Linked DNA regions of Alligator mississippiensis. The protein of the gene in region 3 purifies or fractionates together with the protein of the main gene of each other region. This does not show direct contact. Links are inferred from orthologs where the notes say so. Each region holds a gene or a part of one and is shown on either strand. Other genes may lie near its edges.

Region 1 (7,768 bases), on a different chromosome or scaffold from region 3:
TCTCCCTTGGGTACCTTTCAAGGATGCGGCAGGGTGCCATACCACGTTAGCACGGTTAGGTTTATAAACATGATTCACAAGATAAACCCAGCGATTTCAAATTGAAACCCGCAGTTGTGGGCTGTCTCTGTTCTTTGCAACATAAAAACTGCTTTATTATTTTTCTTTAGGCAAAAAAAAAGATTGAAAATGAAGAGCTGGAATTTCCAGAGGGTGCCTCGAGTCTGCAAAGGCTGAAAACCACCCGTCTAAGGACTTCAGGGAATAGATGGGAGAAAATAAGTACTTGAAGTCCCATTTTATAGAAGAGGAATTGAGAAATTAAGTGGTCAAGAAAGGGAGTCACCTGGGAGAGGTATAGCAGAGCTGGGAATGGGACCCAGGCCGCATGAGCCCCAGCCTAGTGCTTTCACCCCAAGACCATCCTCCCCCTGACCGGCAGGAGCACTGGGGACACCCGAGAGCAGTGTCATTCAACTCCTGAAGACGCAGACAAAGTCTGCAAACCAGATCGCTGGGCTCACACCCACTCCACCACGACTTGCTGCCATTGCCCCACAGTTTGGTAACAGGCAGGGAACAATCACGTTTACGCCACGCTGATGGGCTCAAGAAACACATCGTCTCCTCTCTATTTAAACCTCCCCTCCCCACAGTTTATCAGGCAATTGTTTTCTTGGGTTTCTTTTCTACAAGAGACACCACTTTGGGGTCCACGGGTCAAGGCTGAGCACCCTTCCCTTTGACTAGCGTTAGCTTCCTGAGCAGCCTCGCACCCCACACTCAACAAAGCCTTGGCGCATATTTCTAAGGAAACGTAAAGCCTGAAGCAGCATCGCTGTTACCCTGATTCTCGCAGCCAACAAATACGGACGAGAGAAACAGCAAGGAAAGCCCACGGGCTGCGATGGCGGCCGCGCTGCCTCCCTGGGCATGGGAAGAGCTGACGGGAGCTCCCAAAGGAACACCAGACCAGTTGTCCAGCCTGGAGAAAAGTGAGAAAGGCAAGATAATTAATCAGACCCAGGCCGAGGACTGGGGAAGAAAGGCCAGGGCTCTATTATAGCAGATAAAAGCTGCCTCTGGGAGAAGGTAAAACGCCTCCATCCCGAGCGATGGATCTGCAGAGAACTCAGCCTCGTCCCACACGAGGTTTGGGGGAGCTTTGCTCTCAAATCAGTGGCCAAAGTTTCTACTTTCTCTCCGGGCAGCTGCCACGGGACCTCCAGGTGGACGAAACGTTGCAGCTGCTCAAAGGGGTCCTCGACGCAAACACCTTTCGAGACGTTTTCCCACGTTCTCCCTCCACGCGGTGCTGGGGAAGGGGGCACTTCGGGGAAAGCAGCAGACTGCCCGGCAAGAACCGAAGCGCTGCAACCGCATGCAGATACACCGTGACTCCCGCAGCGACTCTTAATGTCGCTGCGAGATCTCCGCAAAACGTTATGATCCTGCCTCCCCATCTAGGTTGGGGAAGGAAGACCCCTTCAGTTCTAGCTCTCCATAGTCCAACGCAAGACTGGTCCCCAATGGTTTCTGGTTTTGCTTTTCACCGCTAGCCACCAAACCTCCTCAAGCAAGAGGGTTCCCACCCCCTCCCTGGAAACGATCCCACAGGTGCATGGGTCTGGCGGTCTCCTTCTGCCCCGCTTGTTCCCCTGTCGCTTCTCTGAATGAGTAGGTCTTCTGTTCTGCACAGCTCGTTTCCAAAATGCACCCCTCCAGGTGGAGCTTCCCCTCCCGGCTCCAGACCACCATGGCTTTCCTCCATGCCTGCGATACCTGGACAAAACCACACTGCCCGCTTTAGTCCACCCAGATCACACCGCAGACGTCATCTGATGCGCCGCTCACTGCCTTGGTGCCCCTCATCCGTGCCTGCTCCTTGACTCTCTCCCTCTCTGGGAGGACCAGGGGTTAAGGTTATTTTCCCCAGATGCATTATCTGCGTTTGCCCATGCCGGATCCGATTTCATTGTTTTCTGCCCGTTCCTAATCTTGCCGAGTCTCCGTCTCGTTTCCCTGCCCTCCCTGGTTTCTGCAGCTCCTTCCAGTTTTGCTTCACCTGCAAATTTCATTCATCTGCCATATGCCTCCTTTTCTAGACCATCCGTGAAGCTATTATTTTTTTTTTTAATTTAATTTGTATCACCGGCCAAATCAGCCCAGGCTAATTCCAAACGCGAGACGTGTCCCTGCTACCGGCAAACATCCTCCGCCCGCACCCGGGGCTTCACACGTTCCCAAATCCTCTGGCGGGCGTCCTACGCGCAGGCCCAAGCCCGCAGGCGCGGGGTTCGATGCTCGCCCGCAGCCGCGCGGCCCCGGGGACGAGACTCCCGCGCCCGTAACCCCTGCAGCCCGGCGGCTACCGAGCCACGCGGGCCGGGTCGGGGACGCAGACGCACACGCACGGTATTTCCCCTGCCGCGTTACGAAGCCACGGCGCGTGTCCCGAGCTGCTGAAGGAGAGCAGGACCTCCACCCGCCTGCCCCTTCCCCACACCCGCTGTCTACCGCTGCCCTCGCTTTAGGGGGGGCTTCACGGCGACCCCACAGGACGGGCCGCGGCCAGCCCCGCGCGCGGGGGTCGTGCCACCGTGGCGGAGCGCGGCCCCTCGGGGATTGGGGCCGCCGAGATGCCACCGAGCGAGACCCCGCCAGCGAAGTGAGGCGGCTTCTCGGGGTCCTGGATGCGCAGCGCCCGCAGGCCCGGCCCCGCCGGGACAGGCCGCAGCCCCGGGCTTTGTTCGCGGGCCGCTCGGGCTCACCCGAAATCGTCGTCCATGGACTTGAAGTAGAACTTGTAGTTGGGCCGGTTCAGCAGCCCCTTGAAGTCGCCCAGCGTGACGCGCTCGGCCGGGATCGGCAGCTTCACCAGGTAGGGCGTCTCCTGCTCGTCCAGGTGGTAGATGATCTTCGTCTCGGCCGCCGCCATGGCGCCCCCGGCCCGGCCCGGCCCGGCTCGGGCTCCGGCCCCGGCTCCCGGCGCCGCGCAAGCTCCGGCCGCGGCTCCGCCTCCCCCGCCTCCTCCGCGGGGCGGGACCAGCACGAGCGGCCGCGCCGGCCCTCGCTCCCACCCGCGCCCGCCGGGCCTGCAGCGCCGCCCCCAGCCCCGCGCCGGACTCGCTTTGTTCCCCGCCGCCGCCGGCCGCCGCCCCGCCCCGCCCCGCCGCCACGCGGCGACAAGGGCCTCCACCCACCCGCCATCCTCCCACGCGACGCGACGCGACCCCACGATCCGCCACCTCCCGCGCAACACGAAGGGCACCCGCCACCCGCCCGGCGCCACCATCCTCCACCGCCGCGACACCACACCACACCACGGTCCGCCACCTCCCGCACAGCACGGAGGTCCCCACCCGCAGCACGACAACAATCCCCCACTGCCAACACCACACGACAATCCCCCACTTCCAACACAACGCGACCATCGCCCACTGCCAACACAACGCGAAGATCCCCCACATCCGACACAACACGAAGATGCCCGCCGTGGACGTGAAGAGCGCGGCATGCATCATCCTCGCCGAAGCCCGTGTTGCCCGTGACCCTCAAGCTGGACACGGTTTGCGAATGTGCACCGACTCCCGCAACGAGCGCTAACAGCCTGAGATGTCGGGGCGGCCGGAGGAAACGCCACAAGGACACGCTGAAGAGGGACCTCAAGAAAACATGCCGACATCAAGACCCGGGAGGAGCTGGCTGCTGAGGGACTCCCATGGCGCGGCAACCTCAACCGAGCGGCTGCCCGTGTCGAGGTAAAGCGTCCTGCCCTTGAAGCAGAGAAAAAAGCAGAAGGGAAAGGAGAGAAATTGTGGCCTACAGCCTACTGTCTCCAACAGAAAAGCCAGCGGCTCCTGTAGACAGGTCTGCCACTCAATGACTGAACTCAAGTTGCCTCAAGACCCACCAGCGAACCACGGCGGTGAGCATCCTTGAATCGAGGGGTTGCTGACAAGTAGGAGACGTTTTCATCCCACGGCTGATCTTCCGTGTGCACAGCACAGGCGGGGAAACTTCACTGCCCCGTTGGAAGCCTTTATTGCTAGCTAGAGAGCAAGTCTTTCATTGTCCCAGGCTTGCACGGTGCCTTCCAGCAGGGCCTGGGCAGTTGGGTGCAAGGCAGGCAATGTGACAGCCACAGGCTTTTGGCTCGCCTCCATCACCCCAGTGCAGAAGCTTGCATTTCCTTGGAGATCTCAAAACAACAGCGGTCTCCCTGTGCCTGAAGAAGGGTGTTGGTACCCAAAAGCTTGCAAAGAACAGGCAGAGGGAGACTGCAGGTCTGAGATGTCCAAGGAGTGAAAGAAGCTAAAAGTGTGACGGGATGTCAGTACGGGATTGTAATTCCCACCTATTTGCAATCTCGTACTGACATCCTGTTACGCTTTTAGCTACTTTCACTCCTTGGAGATCTCAGACCAGCAGAGCCCCCCGTGCCTGAAGAAGGGTGTTTGTGCCTGAAAGTTTGCAAAGAACTTCTTTCCAACAAAAGATATCACATCCACTCAATGAACCTTGCCTGCCTGCGTCCTTAGACCAACACGACTACAACCGAAAACCCTGAAAGTTGCATCCTTAACCAAGATGCAACGGCAGTGGCTTTTGAGTGCTTAAATACAGAGCCAATACAGAGAGAGACTCCGCTGCCCGCAAGTCTTGCAAAGTCACCGAGATAGGAGCCAACGAAACCGGCAGGAAAGGATTAGGCGAAGCAGCCCCATGCAACCGGACAGTGGTTCTCACTCTTTTTAGACCCCCGACACCCCTCAGAAAATGCCAGTTTTTAGTTTTCACTTTTTTTTTTGACTGTGGAAAAACAGAAGTGCAGTTTTTCTGTTGCTAAGAACTCAGAACGGACACACGAGGCCAGCGTGGTGTCAACATTATGAATTCCTATCTGAAATCTCTGCATTCATCCTGTGAAGGCAGGGCAGGGATGCACCTTACACACTAAACAGGAGATGCATAAGCTTGTGCGAGTCTGAGCTGACTCACGAAAGCTTATGCAACTCCGGTTTAGTCAGTCTATGAAGTGCATCTCTATCCTGCCTTTTGCCTGACTTCAGACCACCACGGTTTGCTACCTCTATTTTGTGAATCATGTCTGCACACCAACGCTAATATCGCACGGCACGCCACCTTCCAAGGATCTCAAGGTACCCCGGTGCTGCAACACCCCGCTGGAGAATCGCTGCTGTAGCTTTGTACCTGCATTAAGAAATGTTGCAGCACCACCGAGCACGACCGCTTCTGCCGTTACACTCAGCTATAGGCTAGGTTCAGGCATTTCAGATCATTTGAGCCCAGTTGACTTCCTTCCCCTTGGGCAGGGGGGTTGGACCCCACAGTCTCGCAAGGTCCCTTCCAGCCCTGATATGTACAAAATCTATGAAATGTTTAGCACAGCACAAAAACCTGCTCAGCCCAGTCCCAGATGCAGTGAGGTGAATAGGCTTAGGCTCCAGCACTTAATTCTTTAAACGAAGCAGGGATGTCCGTCTAAAACATACGTTGTCTTTCAAGCAGAAATCATGGGCCTGATACAGGACCCAGCAGGTCAGTTCTGATCTGTTGTAGATGGGCTGTCAGACTAGATGACTGCACTGGCCTCTTTTGGCCTTAAAAAAACCCTCAGGGATCCACCACTCACATTGGTCTTAAAAAAACCCCAGCACGTTTCACTGCAGTGTCAAGGCTTCTTCCTCCAAAGCACTGTTTGCATCCATCCGACTCACTTCCGAATCAGCCATACAGATCATTGGGCCTGTCCCGCTCTTCAATGCTGTCATCAACTCTCCATACGCACACAGAGAGAGGTGTCTATAGATGCACACACGTATGTCTATATACATCTAGACACACACATGTTTATGTGCCATTGAGCCATTTTAACACACCACAGCTCTGGCTTGGAGGGTGTCAAATATGCTACTTGGTCTCTGTTCTGAGCAACGTAGCCAGAGATTGCCACGGTGGGAGGGGGGGGACCCCATGCAGAAGAGACTCTGGGGGGAAGGACAAAGCTTCCTCACGTAGCGACATTCTTAGCCCTTTGAACCTCTACCTTAGGTATGTGCCTGCAACCCTCGGGTCAGATGGTGGCTCACAACACGGAGATCTTGGCCACTTGAGAGCAGAGACCTCAGGCTGTGGAATGCAGAACACACAGAAAGCAGAATTGTTTGTTTCTTGGCACAAAGACTCCAGAGGCTCTGGCCAAAACAAGCCAGTTACGGAATTACAGACGAAACCTTCTTTTTAACCTTCTTTACCCTGTAAAAAAAAAATTAAAAAATACTCAAGATGTCCAGGGAGATTTTCAAACTCCTGAATCGCGCAGCTGGCTGGTAAACACTTTTGAAAAAGGGGTTTGTTACCCACCTCTTCCCCAGCAGGGTATGGCGTACGACATACTTTAATGCGCAGTATGGCAGGGAGGATCATGCTTCGGCCAGGATTAAAGCACATCCTTTTAACTTGTTCTGAATAAACAGGAGCCTCACCCACTGCAGGAATCTAAAGTGCCGGAGTTTCAACTGGGTGAGCTCGTTTGCAATTCCTAATGGTAACACTGCTGGATAGGATTGAACACCTACCCCATGCCACCGGCGTGCTCATTTTATGCCTGTTATAAGCACAACTTTGGATCGTTTTGAAAAATAAAGTGGCAACTGTTGATCCTCCGGGATTCACAGTGTATGCATGAGGGCCACCCAGGTCTTCGATGCATATGCTTGGGCAGGAATTTTTTTTGGAAGAGTGGAGGTTGCCCAGACCTTCCATCCTCCCTTCAGGCCACTGAGACAAAATCCAAAGACCAGATGTTTGGTGCCTCCATGACTGTAGTTGCATGAGCATCTAGGAATTGAACCCAGGTCTCCTGTGCGGTAGACAAGGATTCTACCACTGAACCACAGGGGACTCCTGAGAAATAAGGTAGCTATGGGTTATTATGGAGAAGTCTATAGCCAGCAAGATCAGAGCAGAACTCACAGGTAATGCCACGCTCAGAGACACATACTCAAACAGCTGATTCTTTATACCAGGATGGTTTTAATCGCTCCCTGAATTAAATATTGGCAGATACAGAAAGTTCAGATACCGACTATTTTCCCGACGTTTACAAGACTGCGTTCCAGTGTCAGAAACCAAGGGCCTTCAGGCACAGTCTAGATATGCTGAGCGCTCAAAGATCACCCCTTCCCAGTGCTCGTGTGTAAGAGGCAGCATTCCCACCCTCCACCAGCGCCTTGCCACAAATCCATGTGGCACCACTGACCCAGAACACATGCCAAGTGAGCAGATCCAATGCATCTCCCCAAGGGATCTATTCAACACTCCTCTTCCTAAAGGGATAGTGGCAAGGTAAGCATGTTCGACATGATCTACAGACAATTGTAAGCTGATTCTCTGCTCCGCTCTTGGTGGAGAACAAGGTAGGAAAGTAGCACAGTGACATGTACAGAAATGCTGCTCTTCAGCGCTCTATTGCTAGCATGGGAAGATGGTGCAGTAGAGGTGGGCTGAAAAAAAGGCCGCCTTCATTCCTGCTACACACCCAAGACTTACCTTGGGACTCCTAGGTTGGCAACCCCTTGGAGAACCTTTCATTCTTCTTCCCTCCAATAAATAAATAAATAAATTAAAAAATCCCACTTGCTCTGAGTGTGTGGAACAAAAATCTTGTAGGGAGACTCAAAAATAGAATACTACTACTTAAAAGGAAAGCCCTTTCCTCACTTCATACTAGAACAGAGCTCAG
Region 2 (7,810 bases), on a different chromosome or scaffold from region 3:
GTCCAGGAAAACAGGCAGCTAGGAGCCTGAATGCCTGGGTTCCAGGGACCCAGATGCCTGGGTTCCCTCTCTGCTCTTGGAAAGGAACGGGGTCCAGGTTGGTATCCCAGATACCTGGGTTCTGGGAAAGGAATGGGGACCTGGACTCCTGGGTTCTCTTTCTGTTCTTGGAAAGGAATAGGCTTTGGAAGGACGGGCAACTAAAAACTCCAGACACGGGTTTTCTCTTTGCTTTTTGAAAGAAACAAGGTCCACAACAGGCAGCTGGGAGTCTGGACTCCTGGGATCCAGGAAGGGAACGGGGACCCAGATGCCTGGGTTCTCCTTTTACTCTTGGAAAGGAACAGGGCCCAGGAGAACGGGCAGCTGGGCCTGGATTCCTGGGTTCTGGGAGGGAAATGGCGAGCAAGATGCTTGGGTTCTTTCTGTTCTTGGAAAGGAATGGGCTTGAAAGGATGAGCACCTGGGTACTGGCAGTGCAACAGGACCCGGATGCCTCAGTTCTCCACCTACCTTGATGATCTCCACCAGCTGGTCTACACCGCTGTCCCCAGGAAAAATGGGCTGCCCCAGCAGCAGCTCGGCCAGCACGCAGCCCGCCGACCAGATATCTGTGGACAGGGCAGGGTATCAGGATGCCTGGATTCCCAGCCCGGCAGGCAGGGGCAGGATGGGGGTGCTCTTACCTATGTTGGACGTGTAGTCGGTGGCACCAAAGATGAGCTCGGGGGCCCGGTAGTAGCGGGAGCAGATGTATGAGACATTGGGCTCGCCCCGCACCAACTGCTTGGCACTGCGGGAGAATCGGGGCCATGAGCCAGAGCACAAGGGCCCAGCCACAGCCTTGCACAGGGGCCCAGCCACGGGGAGCAGAGGGAGGCAACCCACTGGCCTGGCTCTCATACCACCTCTGACATGATAGGGGAGGAACCCTTGCACAAGGGGCTGGGCACGAGTGTCAGTGGGGAGTAACCCTCGCACAAAGGGCTGGGCGTCACCTGCCGAAGTCGCAGAGCTTGAGCACAGCCGTGTCAGGGTCAACCAGCAGATTCTGGGGCTTGATGTCGCGGTGGCAGACACCCTGTGAGTGGATGTAGGCCAGACTGCGGAACAGCTGGTACATGTAGACCTGTGGGCACCAGGGGATGGGCGGTCAGCACAGCGAGGGGGGGCAAGGAGTTTCTCCCCACATCCCCTGACCCCACCTTACCTTGACATAGATGACCGGGATGGTCTGCTTGGCCTTGGAGAAGTGCCGGGCCACGCGGTACACCGTCTCCGGCACGAAATCCAGCACCAGGTTCAAATAAACCTCGTCCTTCTAGGAGGACAGGGGGTGAGACCCCCTGGGATGCCCCCACCACCACCACCCCTGTGCATCCCTAGCTGAGCAACATGGCTCCCCAGAGCCCTCCAAGGACCCCGGGTCTCCTCCACAGTCCCCCGCTCCCCTGACAATTCTGGCTCACCCTGCCCCAAAAATCCTGACCCACTATACCCCAAACTGCCCCCCCCCGCTGACAAGTCCCAAACTGCTCCCCAGCCCATGACAGTCCCAGCCCCACCCCCGCCCCAAACTGCCCCAGGGCCCATTGATAGTCCCAACCCACCCTACACCAAATTGCCGCCCCTGCTCATGACAGTCCTGCCCCTCCCTCCCCAGGCTGTCCCCCCCAGCACCCCCACCTTCTCCCCGCTGGAGTAGAAGAAATAGCGCAGCCGCACAATGTTGCAGTGGTCCAGCTTCCGCATGATCTGCAGCTCCCGGTTCTGGTGGGGGGGCAAAGAGTCAGGGTGAGTGGGGGGTCCCAGGGGTGGGGGGAAGGGAGTCCCCTGCCCCATGCCTGACCTTGAAGCGCTTGTCCTGCAGCACTTTCTTGATGGCGACGAGCTCACCTGAGCCGGCCAGGCGTGCCTGGTACACAACACCAAAGGACCCGTTGCCGATCACCTTGATGTCAGAGTAGGAGACCTCCTGCGGGCGGTCAGGGCCCTGCCCCGGTGTTGCCACCACTGTGCTCAGCTTCCCGCTGTCCCCTATGTAGGGAGGCACAGGGTCAGGGGTGCGAGGGCTGAGACCTGCCACCCCCCCAGGTGGGTGTGAACCCCACGTGGGAGCATGCATTGTTGCCCCCCCCATAAAACTCTAGCCTGTCTTCCCAGCCAGCCCCATCCCCCGCCCCAATAAGGACACTGGAGAACCCTCTAAAGCCCCCCCACCAATTGGGCACCTTTAGACCATAACCCCCAAACCCTAGGAAACACGAAGCCCCCCAACCCTGACCCAGTGCAGGGGGGGACCCCCCAGGACCTGTTGCTCATAGAGAAACCTCCTCAAATCGCTCTGGAAGCCCCCCCACAGGGAGCATTCCCCCAGCCTAAACCCCAAGGCCCTGGGCTCCTCCCCCAAAGAACCCCTCCCTCCCAGCCCCGAACCCCTAACCCATGGGGACCCCCCAGCCCTGCCCCTCCTGCCTCCCTGACCCCCCTAAACCCATAGGGACCCTTCCACCCCCTCCCCCAGGTCGAGGGACCCAGCCCCCCCACCCTGAGCCTCCAAGATCTAGGGGACCCCCCAGCCCAGCGCCTGCCCCCCAACCCCTAAGAACCCCCCCTGGCGCCCTCCCCCAGGTCTAGGGGAAACAGCCCCACCCCCAAGCCCCCCAAAATCCATGGGGAACCCGCCCGCCCCCAGGCCCAGGAGCCCCCAGCCCCATGGGAGCTCCCGCCCCGCCGCCACTCACGGCCCAGCTTCACCCCCGCGGGGAAGGCGCCCCCGCCCCCCCCCGGCCCGGGCCCGGCCTTGCCCCCCCCCGCAGCGGCCGGGATCGGGGCCGCGGGGGGCGGGGCGGCGTCGGCGAAGGAGCCGGCGCGCGGGCGGGACGGGCCGGCGCTACCGCTGCTCATGGCGAGGCCGGAGCGACTGCGGCGCCTCCAGCCGCCGGCCCGGCCCCGCCCCGCCCCGCGCGGGGGCCGCCGGGAAAGCGAGTCCATCCGGCCCCGGAAGCGCCGGCGGGAAAGGGCGGGGCAACAAATGGCGCAGGCGCGGGCGGGGCCGGCCGGGAAATGGAGTCCCTGAGAGGGAGGGAATGAGGCATCTGCACATGCGCGCGAGGGGAGTGATGGGAGAATGAGGCAGGGGGCGGAAGGAAATGGACTCGCGTAGATAGGAGTATCTGTGCATGACGGGAAATGGAGTCCGGCAGGTAGAAAAGGAGGAGGTGTGCGCATGTGTCCGAGGGGCGTGATGGCGGAGTGAAGCCGGGGGACGCTGGGAAATGGAGTCCCGCAGGTCGGAGGGGTAGATACCATGTACGCCTGTGAGTGACTGGAAATGGGCTGCGGAGGGTGTGGAGGTCTGCGCATGCACTGGAGAGATGTGACCGGAAACCGAGGTGGGCATGCCGCGAGGGATTCCGGTAAATGGAGTCTGGGAGCGTGTGGGGGGGGGGTGTAGGCGTCTGCAAGGACTGACAGGAAATGGAGACTGGGAAATAGGGTGTCTGCGCAGGAACCCTCGTGAGCTGCCAGTGACGTCACGTGCTGCCGCGGGGGCCGACGGGAAAGCGAGGAGGCAAAATGGAGAGGCTCCGAGCACGCAGCGCGCGAGAGCCGCAAGGGGTGGCGGGAAGGGGAGTCCAGCCGCTTCCCGAAGGGGGCTGCAGCTCCCAGCTTGCACGGCGCGACGAGGGAAATGTAGTCCCAGCTGTTGTGGGGGGTTGACTACGTCTCCCAAGAGGCATTGCGTGAGGACGGAGCGACGCGAGGCGTCCCCGCTCCCTTGCTCTGCGCGCTCCCCGGGCGCGCCGCTCCTCCTCCCGTCTCCGTGTCCTCCCGCAAAGCGCGGCCGGAGTGAGGGGTACCGGCGGGGGGAACGCCCACCGCGGCTTCCCGCCCCGCCCCCAGCTTCCCCGCAGGGAGGATGTGGCGGGGCAGGGCGGGCCCCGGACGCTCTGGCTTGGGGCAGTGCCAGAGCCGGGGGAGGGCTGTGCACCTAGAGCGGGGCACACCTGGCTTCTCCCTACGGCACCAGGGCAGTGAGGACTGGTGGTCAGAGCCGCCTCCCACAGCCCGGGCCCAGCTGCAGCTTCTCCTTCCTGGGTGGGCTGTCCAGCGCCCGGGCCCCGCCAGGCAGGAAGGGGTTAATGCAGCCGGACTCCGCCCCGGGCTGGGCGCCCCCCCGCCCCGCGGCCCCCCCAGCACCACCCGTACCGGAAGTCTCCAAATCACTGTTTATTGGTTATTTTTCGCGGGTTTTATACATTCGTAAAAGAAGCCGCGGCCGGTTCTGTACAACAAGGTCACTAAGGTGGGGGGTCCCCGCTGCCCCCCAGATGAGGGGGGATCTCCACCCCGGGCGGGAGAACCCGGGGGGTGTCAATGGCTTCTCTGTTCCTAGGGGGGCAAGATGGGGGCGGGGGGCAAGGGAAGAAGTCACTTCAGGTCCCCCCCAGGGTGTGTGGGGGGGGGGGTGGCACGGCCCCCTGGACCCAGCACAGCACAGGCACTTGCAACAGCCCTGAAAGCCCCGGGGGGGGTAGGGGGGCCACGGCCCGGCCCCAGGGGCAGATTTTTGGTTTCCAGCAGGGAACCCCGAGATCAATAGTGGGGGGGGGGGGAGATGTAAGGGGGTGGAGCCCAGCCCACAACCCCCCAGGCCTTGCAGACCCGAGAGGGGCACATGGCCCCCCCTGCAGAAAAGGGGCCTGACGGGGGGGGGGGGGGGGGGGGGGGGGAGAGGAAATTGCTTCTTGTGCTTCCAAAAAAGGCCGGGGGGGGGGGCCAGGACCCCCTAAAACAAGGCAGCAAGTTCACTATAAACAAAGGGGGGGCAGTCCCCATGCAGGGGGGGGGGGGGGGGCTGAAAAATAGGAGATATCTATAGGTATTTATATATGTATAGGCATAGAGGTCCCCGATGTGCCCCCCAACCCCCCCAGTAATGGTGAGAGGGGTATAAAGGCTCCCCCCCAGCACAGGGTGGGGCAATAAGGCAGTGAGGAGGGGGTCTAGCAGTCCCGGTTCTCCAGGGAGAGCTGGGCTGTGGCAAGCTGCAGCTCAGGCCCTGGCTCGGCCTTGGCCTTCTTGTCATCGGCAGGGGTGGGCGCGGAGGCCTCAAGGCGCCGGTCCTCGCTCCAGCGCCGCTTGAAGCGCAGCTTAGGGGGTGCAGCAGCAGCAGGTGTGGGGGGTGGCAGTGGGGCGGGTGGCTCAGGGGCGGGCGGCGCCTTGAACACATCCTCATCATCCTCGCTCAGGTCCGTCACCTCCACCGTCTCCTCCTCTGAGTCGCCCTCGGACACCGGCTCCACTTTGATGCGTGGCGGTGGCTGGGTTGGTGCCGGGACAGGCTCGGACAGAGCAGTAGAAGCCTTGCGGCGCCCAGGGGGTGGTGGCTGCAGCTTGAACTTGAAGGGGGCAGCGCCAGGAGGCTCATCTGGGGGCTTTTCAGGGCGCTGGGGCTGGGGCACCACCAGGCCAGGGTAGTGCAGGAAGGCGCGGGGGCTGAGGTGGTAGTTGTACACGCTCTGCGTGTGCGCCTGCAGGTAGCGCTTCATGTCCTCCGGGCTGAAGGAGAAGTGGGACCCGCCGGGGAACATGGGGCTGAGGGTGGGTGAGGGTGTGAACGGCACATGCCCAGGCGTCAGGGGCAAGGCAGGTGAGAGCTGTGGGGGCAGTAGGGCGCCTGGCCCAGCCAACGGCGACACAGGGAAGGGGCTGAGGGGCTCGGGAGCGCGGGGCGGTGGGCGGGGGTACACGCGGAACAGCCCCTCAGGTGCCAGGCGAGGGTGGGTGGGCAGTGGGGGACCCCCACGGAAGGGGTCGGGGCCAGGTGGGCGGCGTGGGTCCTCGCCCAGAGGCTCCTCCAGCTCCGAGGCGGCCGAGGCGGCATCACTGCAGTCGCTGACTGAGCCGCGGGCCAGGCGCCGTGCCACGGCCGCAAAGACACCCGGTGAGCGCGGGGCCTCTGGACCTGGTGACAACACTTCACCTGGCGTGGCTGGCGGGAACCGGAAGTGCGAGGCACCCGACGGCACTGGCGGCGCGCTCTGTGGCACAGGCCCACCTGCAGGCACACAGCTGCAGTGAGCTAGGGCACAACCCCTCACTCGTGACCTGCTGGTGCCTGCTCCCTACCCAGTGCCCTTCACTTCAGCCCTGCAGCTCCTCTGGTGCCCCTCAGTCCCAACCTGCCACCCCCTGCTCCCCTCCAGTGCCCTTCACTCTTAACTTGCAGCCCTTTGCCCCCTCACTCCCAGCCTGCCCCACCCAGTGCTCCTCACTCCTGACCCACAACCCCCCTGCTCCCACCCCTGGTGCCCCTCACTCCCAGCCCACCGCCCCCTGTACGCCTCTGGCCCCCCCGCTCACCGGCCATGCCCATGTCGATGAAGGGGTAGTTGACCAGCACCAGCTTGTTGAAGTTGAACTTGTAGGTGAAGCGTTTGCCCTTGGTTTTGTGCAGGATGCGCTTGTTGTAGTAGTACCTGGGAGGAGGGCAGACCAGGGGTCAGCACCACAACCACACCCAAACCCCAGGGACCTCAGCCAGCCCAGTGAGTTGGGGCACATGGGGTGCCTGGGTTCTCCAAGTCAGCTGTGGGGGCTGGGGGGCTACAGCACAGGGATCCCGGGGAGCTGGGACACCTGGGTTCTCCCCCACTCACCGCAGCGCCCGGCTGAGCTTGTCGTAGTTCATCTGGGGCTTGCACTTGCGCACGCCCCACAGCCGCGCCACCTCGTCCGGGTCTTTGATGACGAACTCGCCATAGTCGCCCTGCCAGGCGATGACATCGTGGTACTCCTCCTTGCGCAGCAGCTCCAGGATGAAGTGCCACAGCTGGATCTGCCGCGAGCCCGGGCTCGACTCTGGCTTGTAGGCCCAGTCCGGGAAGGCGAAGCCTGGGAGGCAGCGGGGGTCAGGTAGAGGCTGCTGGCCCTTTAAGGGCTATTCCCAGAGAGGTCAAAGTCACCCCCCAGGGGCAGACTTGGATGCCTAGGTTCTGGGTTCTGCATGGGCACGGGAGCCGAAGGGTTAACCCCCCCAGGTCCCCACAAGGTGTGCACATCACCCCCACCTGGGGGGCAACAGGAAACCGGTTTAACTGAGCCCAGGGCCAGTGCCAAGCCACCCACCCTCCCCCCCCACAGAAGAGCTGGTGCCCCTCACTCCTGACCCCCAGCCCCACTAGTGCCCCTCATTCCCAACCCGCAGCCCCCCCAGACTAAACTGGTGCCCCTCACTCCCAACCCACAGCTCCCCCCAAAAGAGCTGGTGCCCCTCGCTCCCAACCCGCAGCACCCCCCTCCTGACCCAGTGTCCCCAGACCCAAGGCGCGCCCCCCCCAGTGGTCCCCAACCCCGCTGGCGGGGGTGGGGTGGGGGGTGGGCAGGGGGAGCGGGCGGGTGGGATGGTTGCCGGCTGAGGTCACCGCCTCCCAGACAAGGAGCCTTTTCTCTGCGCCAGGCGCCCGCCCAACCCCGGCCACATTCCTGGGGGGGGGCGGGGGAGAGGGGCTGGGCCTAGCCTGCAGCCTGGGACCCCCCCTTACCAATGCACACAGCCCCCTGGGATCCCCAGCGGAGCCCCCCCCACCCCAGGGGCATGTCTCTGTGGACACACCAAGTTTTGGGGCACCCAGCCCCCCCCATCCACAGGAAGCTGGGAACTACCATTTTCCAGAAGGCCAATCAGCCACCTAACCCACCTCCCTTGACCCATCTTGATGCCCCACCTTGGAGCCCCTTGGACCCCCCCCTTGGAGCCTGATGCCCCCTATGTCAGGAGGGTACGGGGGGGGGGGCAAGTGCC
Region 3 (7,802 bases):
ATGGCTAATTGGCCTTGGATCTGTGGCAACTAGTTCACCTTCCTCACCAGGGACTGGTGGCCTTGGAGCATCTTCAGTAAAGCTTCCCCCAAGATCCAAAGGGAAACTTTTCCCCTGGACATTCATGTTTGTTTACATGCACAGGAACAAGGACAGAACAGCCTAAGTCTCAAATCCCCACTGTTTGTATTTCCAACATGAACGTGTTTATCCTGGTGAAATAAATGAGAACAAAGTTAAGAGATATTGCATATTCTAAGAGATATCCTAAGAGTCTGGAATGGCTATTTCTGCTTCACAGGATTATGTTCCTAGTCTTCCTCTTGGTACAGTATTCCAGTACTCCTGAATTTCTTATTATTGAGTTATCCAAATTTTAAAACCACCATGAACAATCCTCAAACATGGTTGTAGATAATTATGTAAATGGGACACTCAATTCACTTTTTCAGTGTGCATATTTCATTATGAAGTTTAAATTAGAAAAAAATATAGTGTTTAGTCATGCAAAAATAAAACACCAGGTAAATTCATGTCTCCAGAATGGTTTGGAATTTCTTTTGGGGCACATGGGACGATTCTGAATGTATTTCCATTTGGCACTTAAGCCAGGAATATAACTTAATCAAGTGTAGACAGCCTTCAATACAATCAGTTGTACTTACAATATGAACTGCCTCTACAGTCCAGCAGTTTTTGAAATGCGCTGCATCATCTTATCACATTAATCAATAAGCAATTTGAGTGGTACGAATATTTGTGGCACCAGAATAATTATACCAGAGCCTTTAATAAAATTAAAATCCTAATATGCTGTCAATTCTAGATATTTTACATGGTATCTAAATTAAACTTTTGCAACAAATGAGTATATTCTTATAAGAACTACTAATCTTTTCTTATATTACATGGAATGAAAGGTATTTATTGATGGTTCATTTAAATACTATTTGCTGCAGACCTGAGAAAAATTCAAATCATCACCTCAAGTTGTCTTGATGTTTAAATGTATCGTTTTTTTACATTTTCCAAAAACGTAATTTGAGAAAACATGGCATAGAGAAGATGTATGTCAAGACGTACATCAAGGTAACAATTTCAGGTGATGACTTGAAATTTTCTCAGGTCTGCAGCAAATAATATTTAAATGAAACATAAGTAAATACCTTTCATTTCATGTAATATAAGAAAAGATTAGTAGCTTTTTATAGGGAAGGAAGGAAAAGGATGGAGATATAAAAATGTAGATACCTACTTTGTATCAAGACAATACAATTTAAATCTTCAAAAAACACTAGTAATCGCAAAGACCTGAGTGCTATAAAGCTACAGCTGTCTAATAAATCACTTCTTCAAACAAAATCTTAATTGCACATGAAAATATACCAAGGAAACCATTCTGAAACAAGCCCCTCATGCAAAGATCACCTCCACAGATGAATAAGTCTTTCAGACACATTTCCATTTCCTTTGCTCTCAACTGGCCTTAAAAAAGAGAAGACTTCCTCAATGCCCTGAACATCCTAACAGAATAAAGTAGGAAACAACATAACAAACTAATTAATTTTTAATGTCTGAATAACTGCATGTTTCAGCTATACCTATCTGATCATGGGACCAAGCAATGTTTTTACAACTACTGGATTAAAACAAGCATGAACATTCAGTTGCTATTCTGAGGCTTTTCTTAACACCTGTAACCAAGTAGATCATTTCATGCTAGGCCATGTTTGTTGTAAATTTCTCACCCAGCACTAGAGCAACGGAGGTCACGGAATTAATTTGATTTTCACAACAAAGATATTCAACATAATGATATTGTAGCCATTTCATTCAGAGGTGAACATCACACTCCAGCTGACATAAGCCATGTTGCTCATTGTTGCAAAAACAAAACAAAAAAGGCTCTGTTCCTCACACCTGAAGAAGCACTTGGCATTTTACCTCTAGAGGATAAATAACATCAAAGGACTTCTGGAAATTGCCAGTATAGATGGATCAAAATAAATCAAGGAACATCAGATTAAAAAAGAGTACAAGCCAAGGCCCAGGTCCTGGAAACTGTTCTACACAGGTGCTGTGGTCTATCTGTTCCATTTACACCTGGGGGTGGAGGCCTCGGTGCACAAGATTCGCATTTCCACCACAGGACTTCATAGGCAATTATCATTCTCTGACAGCACTCATCCTGAAGTTCTCCCAACCAAGAGGTTTCCATGCACCATTTGGCGCTTAGCCTGCCTGCCTGTTTCCAGGTAGGTAGTTCCAGCAAAGGAACTACACATCGGACGCCGATGGGGGAGGGAGACGATGGTTATGCCCGAATAAACTGCTGTCTCTCCGGCCACTGACACAAGGGGAGCTAGCGGAGGGCGGCCGGGCTCAGGGCTGCGCACACCGCCGCGCCAGGCAAGTTCAGGGGGCGCGACGCAGAGCGGGGCAGAGCAGAGGCCGCGCGGCCCGGCTCCCTCGCCGCACGGGCCGACGCGCCGGCCCTGCAAGACCCCGGCGCCGAGCGGCGCCTCCAGCCCACAGGGCCACTCCCGGCCCCGACGCCGGCTCCCCACAGGCAGGCCGGGTCCCAGGGCCAAGCGCCTGCTCGGCCCGCTCCTTCCCGGCGGCGGCGCCCGAGTCCCCAGGCTCAGGGCGGCCTAGCGCCGGGCGCGGAGCGGCCCGCTGCCGCCAGCCCCGCGCCACAATGGGGCGGCTTGCGCGGCCCGGCCCCGCGGCCTCGGCGCTTGGAGCTGAGGGCCTGCGCTGCGCTCCGCAGCTACCTCCCGCCCGCCGCTCACTCACCCGCTCGGAGCAGCAGCTGCAGCGACGCGGGGCCCGGCCCATGCGGCTCAACAGTGGCTGCAGCCCGGGGCCGCAGGCGGCGACGTCCGCGGGGAAGCAGCACAAAGCGGGCAGCCCGGGACCCCCATGGCCGCAGCCGCTTGCTCTGGCAGCGACACGGAGAGCAGCGAGCCCCGCGCCGCTCAGCTTGCGCCGCTGCCTCCCGGCGCCCGCGAGCGCTCCGCCGCGCCCCCCGCGCCCCCGCCCGGTACTGCGGCCTGCACCGCCGCGGGAAGGGAAGGGAAGGGAAGGTGCGAGGGGTGGGGGTGCGGGCGCGCGGCCCGAGCTGCGCGACCGCAGCTCCCGGGGCCAGCGCTGGCCTGGAAGGAGAAGGGTAGAGCCTGAGGCACCGGGGAGACCCAGCCCCAGGTCCGGAGGGAGCTGACTGACAAACACTGCTACGGAAACGCGGGCAGACGGCTCACTTGCGCAGCTGTGCTCTCTGATAGCGGCACTGAGGCGCTAAGAGGAACAGCTCTGACATTTGCACTGAAAGGGATTCCGTCTTCTTTTTCACACCTTAGCGAGCAAAATGCGGGCTCTAAATGTGCTCTGCCGAGACGAGGTCAGTTTCTGATATCATTTTTAAAAGAACAAAAAGTTCCTACGTTTTGCAGGAGAAACATTTAAAACTTCTCTTTTTTTAAATCTGTCCGTAATGGTTTTCTCCCTGTTCCCGGGTCTTGTAGCTAAGCAAACCCAAGTCACATGACCAACACTTGGCTAACACCTCAGACATAAACTACTTGAAAACTTAAAATGTAATTGCCCTCTTATTTTTCATAACCTAATCAATCTCCACAAAGAAATGTTAGGTCCATCAGCTTCTTCCTTTTTCTGATGCTAGTTGCAGTAGCTGCAAACTCTCTGTTTTAGATATCCTGGCCTTCAACTCTTTTCTGCCCCTTCAATCCTAGGCCTGTACAAAAGGTCTAGAAGTAAGAAGAAGTAGAGGCCATGCTGTCAACGCCCCCTGGGGATTGTAGTTTTCTCCCAACCATGGGCATCTCTGATGTGACTTGTGGTTTGGAGAAGGCACAGACCCATGCCTAGGGCCTGTTTCTGGAGCTACATGATTACACCAAAATGTCAGCTTTCATCAACATAAAAAGTAAACATCTATCATTCCTAGTTTGAAAACCTGACCAGCATAAGTGATACCTCCCCAAGTCTACGAAGAGCCCAGGCCATGAGCACGTGGATGGGTTATGCCACAAGAAGTCACATCCTGTGTTCAAAAAGCTGCAAACATGATGCAGTCCTTAAAGAGATGTGCCCCACCACCCCAAAATAGGCAGGGGCAATTTAATGACACATTTACAACCTGGGCTACTTGTCTCTGTGCAGCTGCCAGTGTGATTTGCTTCAACTATGTTTTCAACTTCTACTTTTCTTTCATACCCTATAACCTGGGGCAACAGCTGTGAGACAGAGTATTGCTCTCATACTGTGTTAGCTCCAAGATCCACCGTTCAGGGGGCTGGTGGGGTGAGGAGGTAGCTTACTACATTAGCAAATATACCACAGGTCCTGGGACAAGTACTTAGGGAGAGAACGGGGACCCATGCTGCTAGCACTGCCTTACTGGATGGGGCAGACATTACTGCCATACAAATGGAGGGTGGGACCAATGGGACCTCCCATTGACCTAGGATCCAGACTGCCTTTCCAACTCTGTCTGTCTGGGAACATGAGGAACCCGGTTGTATTAAAACTCAGTTGTCAGGATCCACAAAAGAAAGCACCTAGTCTTTAGGACAAAATAGGCAATGGTATAGGTCTCTTCAGAAGACAGGGCTGTTTGACACATATTGGGAACATGAGCCTTATGCTCACAGAGCAACAGTTCTCCCCCGCCCCCGTTAATAGAAGGGGCTATTGGGTATGTGTTAACTGAATTTGTGGGACAAAAGACAAAACAGGAACGGGAGTGAAGGTCAAATGTTCAGAGTAAATGCACCAAGGGGGCACACTAAGCAAGATGTGCTGGACAGTGCCCACTGGCCCTCATATGAGTCCAAGGAGCCAGCAGAGTAGATACTGCCCAGTGAAACTCTGCCTAGAGACCTGAATGGACCAGAAACAGGAAGATGTCCCTGCAGTCCCTGGGGGTCACCTCACCCAGAGCCTCCTTCCTGATCAAGTAGATTGCTAACTTGGCTAGGGCCAGGAGGAGGCTGACCAGTAGGTCCTGGGACTTGATGGGACCACAGATGAGGAGGGCATAAATGAAAAGGTGCAGGGAGTAGTGAGGGAGCAGGAGATTCTGGAGGAGGTGGTGAAGGGACTGCAGCCTGGTGCATTCAGGTTAGGCATGTCTCAGGGTCTCCCTCTGCTCACAGAAGGGGGAGGTGTCGGGGGTATGCATGAAGCATGTCAGGTACATGCCTGTGGCAACAGTTCCATGGAGGAGCCACCAGCTGAGATCCCCAGTGGCTCACAGGATCAGGCTGGAATAGAAGCTCGTCCATCAGGGATCCTTGTCCTCACTGAGGGTGTCTCACCACATAGTTTCTGGGCAGGACACAAGGACAGGACGATAAAGGGTGCAGACCACGAGTGTGTAGATGTGGTGGCAATGGGTTGCCCAGCCTTTAGATGTGTCATTCCAGATTGTGGGTCAAAGCCCACAAGTAAAGCTATAAGCCCCACTTGATTGGGGGGGGCACACTAAGGGCACATCGTGGATCTCTTGGGACAACTGAAAAACAAAACAGGGATGGGAGTGAAGGGCAGAAGATCAAAATGAGTGCACCAAGGGGGGACACTGAGCAGAGCACACCAGACAGTGCCTTGGTCCTTGAACAAGTCCAAGGAGCTAGTGGACACTGCCTAGTGAAATTGCCCGGAAACATGAATGGACTAGGGACAAGAAAGCAGCCCCATAGTCCCCAGGGGTCCTCCCAGCCAGAACCTCCTTCCTGGTCAGGAACATTGCCAGCTAAGCTGGGCCTGGAGGAGGTTGACCAGGAGGTCCTGGGACTTGGTGGGACCATGGATGGGGAGTGCATAAATGAAAAGATGCAGGGAATAGTGCAGCCAGGCCCTCAGCAGAGATTCTGAAGGAGGTGTTGGAAGGCCTGCAGCCTGGTGCACTCCAGATAGGCATGTGCCAGGGTCTCCCCCTGCTTCCTTTGCCTGCATTGGGGGTGTCTGTGAAGCATTACAGATGCTTACCTGTGGCAACAGCTCTGTCGAGGTTCCATCAGCTGAGGTCCCTGGTGGCTCATGGGATCAGGGTGCAATACAGACTCATCTGTAGGTGTGGTGGGGAGTTCCTTTTGGCCTGCCCAGCAGTGGTGACATGTAGGGGGTGCACAGGGGTGCATGTGCAGCCCCTGAGAGTGCTGGTGCACCCCCTGACAGCCACTGTTCCCCACTTAGGCGAAGGGCCGGGAGGGTGGGGGGGGCAGGTGAGAGCACTGCTGCCCCACTAAAAGTGTTGGCCGGGGATAGGTGTACCAAGAGGAGCGATCCCTGCGGTCCCTCCGTGGCCAATTGTGCTGACCCAGAAGTGCCAGCACGCTGCTGGCACTTTTGGGTCAGGGCGATTACCACCCCCGGTCACTGACTGGCTGCTGGGAAGGCAAGTGACCACCGTGACTCAGGAGGCACCAGTCACCTATGCTACCTAGGCAGGGATCCCACAATGAGTCCCAGGGGGCTAGGAGATGATTCCCTCATGCAGGACCTAGTCAATGTAGGCATTCAGCAGAAGACATGATAGAGATGCACCTTATAGAGTAACAAAATCAGACGTGCATAATAGGGCTGTGTGAAACAGTGCTGTTCTGCTTCGACTTTCGTTTCGACGTTTTGATGGCACAGTGTTTCATTTCAAGTCTTGTTTCATTTTGAAAGCACTGTTCCATTTTGTCAAAACTGTTTTGCTGTTTCGGTGCTGTTTTGACATTTCGCCCACCCAGTGCTGGGAAGATCAGTGCTGCTGCTGGCCCCAGCCGGCAGCACCAGCCTCCTATCATCCAGCAGACAGATCGGGGGCCTGCACTCCTGGGAGCAGTCCGGCACAGCCCCTGCAGCCCTCCCTCAAGTTTCGTTTAGTTTTGAAAGCACTGTTCCATTTCATAGAAACCATTCTGCTGTTCCGATGCTGTTTCGACGTTTTGCCCACCCAGTGCCGAGACGATCAGTGCTGCTGCTGGCCCCAGGTGGGAGCACCAGCCTCTGTCATCCAGCAGGCAGATCAGGGCTGCCCACACCCCCAGCATGGCTGCGGGGGCTGTGCTGGACTGCTTCCAGGTGTGCAGACCCCCAATCTGCCTCCCGGATCGCAGGAAGCTGGTGCTGCCGCCTGGGGCCAGCGGCAGGCAGGCCTGGGGCAAATCAGCTCGTGCAGGGACCTGACCCCACCCCAGGACCAGGTGGGGGCAGGACCCCACACAATCCGATTTGCACCGGGCTGCGCACCCTCCTCAGGCCAGCTCCAGTACGGGGTCCCAGGGATATCAGGGGGCTGATCAGGGTGGCAGCGGGTCTCTGCATGAACTGATATGCCCTGGGCCCCTACTGGAGCTGGCCAAAGGAGGGTGCGAGGCCCAGGGTAAATCGTGTGGGAACCCTCCCCAACTCTGGCATCAAGGTGGCAGCAGGTCCCCACATGAGCTGATTTGCCCTAGGCCTGCCTGCCACTGGCCCCATGTGGCAGCACCAGCCTCCTGTGATCCAGGAGGTAGATCGGGGCCGCCTGCACCCCTGGGAGCAGTCCGGCACAGCCGCCGCAGCCCTCCCGGGGGTGTGGGCAGGCCCCATCTGCCTGCTGGATGACAGGCGGCTGGTGTTGCTGGCTGGGGCCAGTGGTGAGCTGTGTCCAGAACCATCCCAGGTGGCAGGAACAGCCTCATGTGATTTGGGAGGCCGATCGGGTCCCCCCACACCCCCAGGACAGCTGCGGGGCTCTGCTGACTCCTCCCAGGGGTGCAGGGGGCCTGCCCTGATCGGCCTGCCAG

What was found. Proteins that work in one complex are often made in the same cells at the same time.
Region 1: the proteins of AXIN1 (region 3) and DVL3 purify together in Homo sapiens (affinity purification with western blotting; 3 studies listed by BioGRID and IntAct, with this or other methods). This does not show direct contact. The link is inferred for Alligator mississippiensis from reciprocal best matches to the Homo sapiens genes AXIN1 and DVL3.
Region 2: the proteins of AXIN1 (region 3) and GSK3A purify together in Homo sapiens (affinity purification with mass spectrometry; 12 studies listed by BioGRID and IntAct, with this or other methods). This does not show direct contact. The link is inferred for Alligator mississippiensis from reciprocal best matches to the Homo sapiens genes AXIN1 and GSK3A.

What each region holds. Positions count from the first base shown.
Region 1 is NC_081830.1:83,882,422-83,890,189, forward strand, and holds the start of DVL3 (segment polarity protein dishevelled homolog DVL-3), read right to left. Parts: upstream 3,010-7,768; 5' UTR 2,939-3,009; coding exon 2,772-2,938; intron 1-2,771. UniProt on the Homo sapiens protein: Involved in the signal transduction pathway mediated by multiple Wnt genes.
Region 2 is NC_081838.1:30,772,719-30,780,528, forward strand, and holds the start of GSK3A (glycogen synthase kinase-3 alpha), read right to left. Parts: upstream 3,010-7,810; 5' UTR 2,995-3,009; coding exon 2,745-2,994; intron 2,038-2,744; coding exon 1,850-2,037; intron 1,771-1,849; coding exon 1,687-1,770; intron 1,322-1,686; coding exon 1,211-1,321; intron 1,130-1,210; coding exon 999-1,129; intron 794-998; coding exon 687-793; intron 612-686; coding exon 514-611; intron 1-513. Other genes in the region: ETS domain-containing transcription factor ERF, read right to left, coding at 5,010-6,064, 6,370-6,485, 6,666-6,900. UniProt on the Homo sapiens protein: Constitutively active protein kinase that acts as a negative regulator in the hormonal control of glucose homeostasis, Wnt signaling and regulation of transcription factors and microtubules, by phosphorylating and inactivating glycogen synthase (GYS1 or GYS2), CTNNB1/beta-catenin, APC and AXIN1.
Region 3 is NC_081836.1:22,316,799-22,324,600, reverse strand, and holds the start of AXIN1 (axin-1), read right to left. Parts: upstream 3,011-7,802; 5' UTR 2,797-3,010; intron 213-2,796; 5' UTR 127-212; coding exon 1-126. UniProt on the Homo sapiens protein: Component of the beta-catenin destruction complex required for regulating CTNNB1 levels through phosphorylation and ubiquitination, and modulating Wnt-signaling.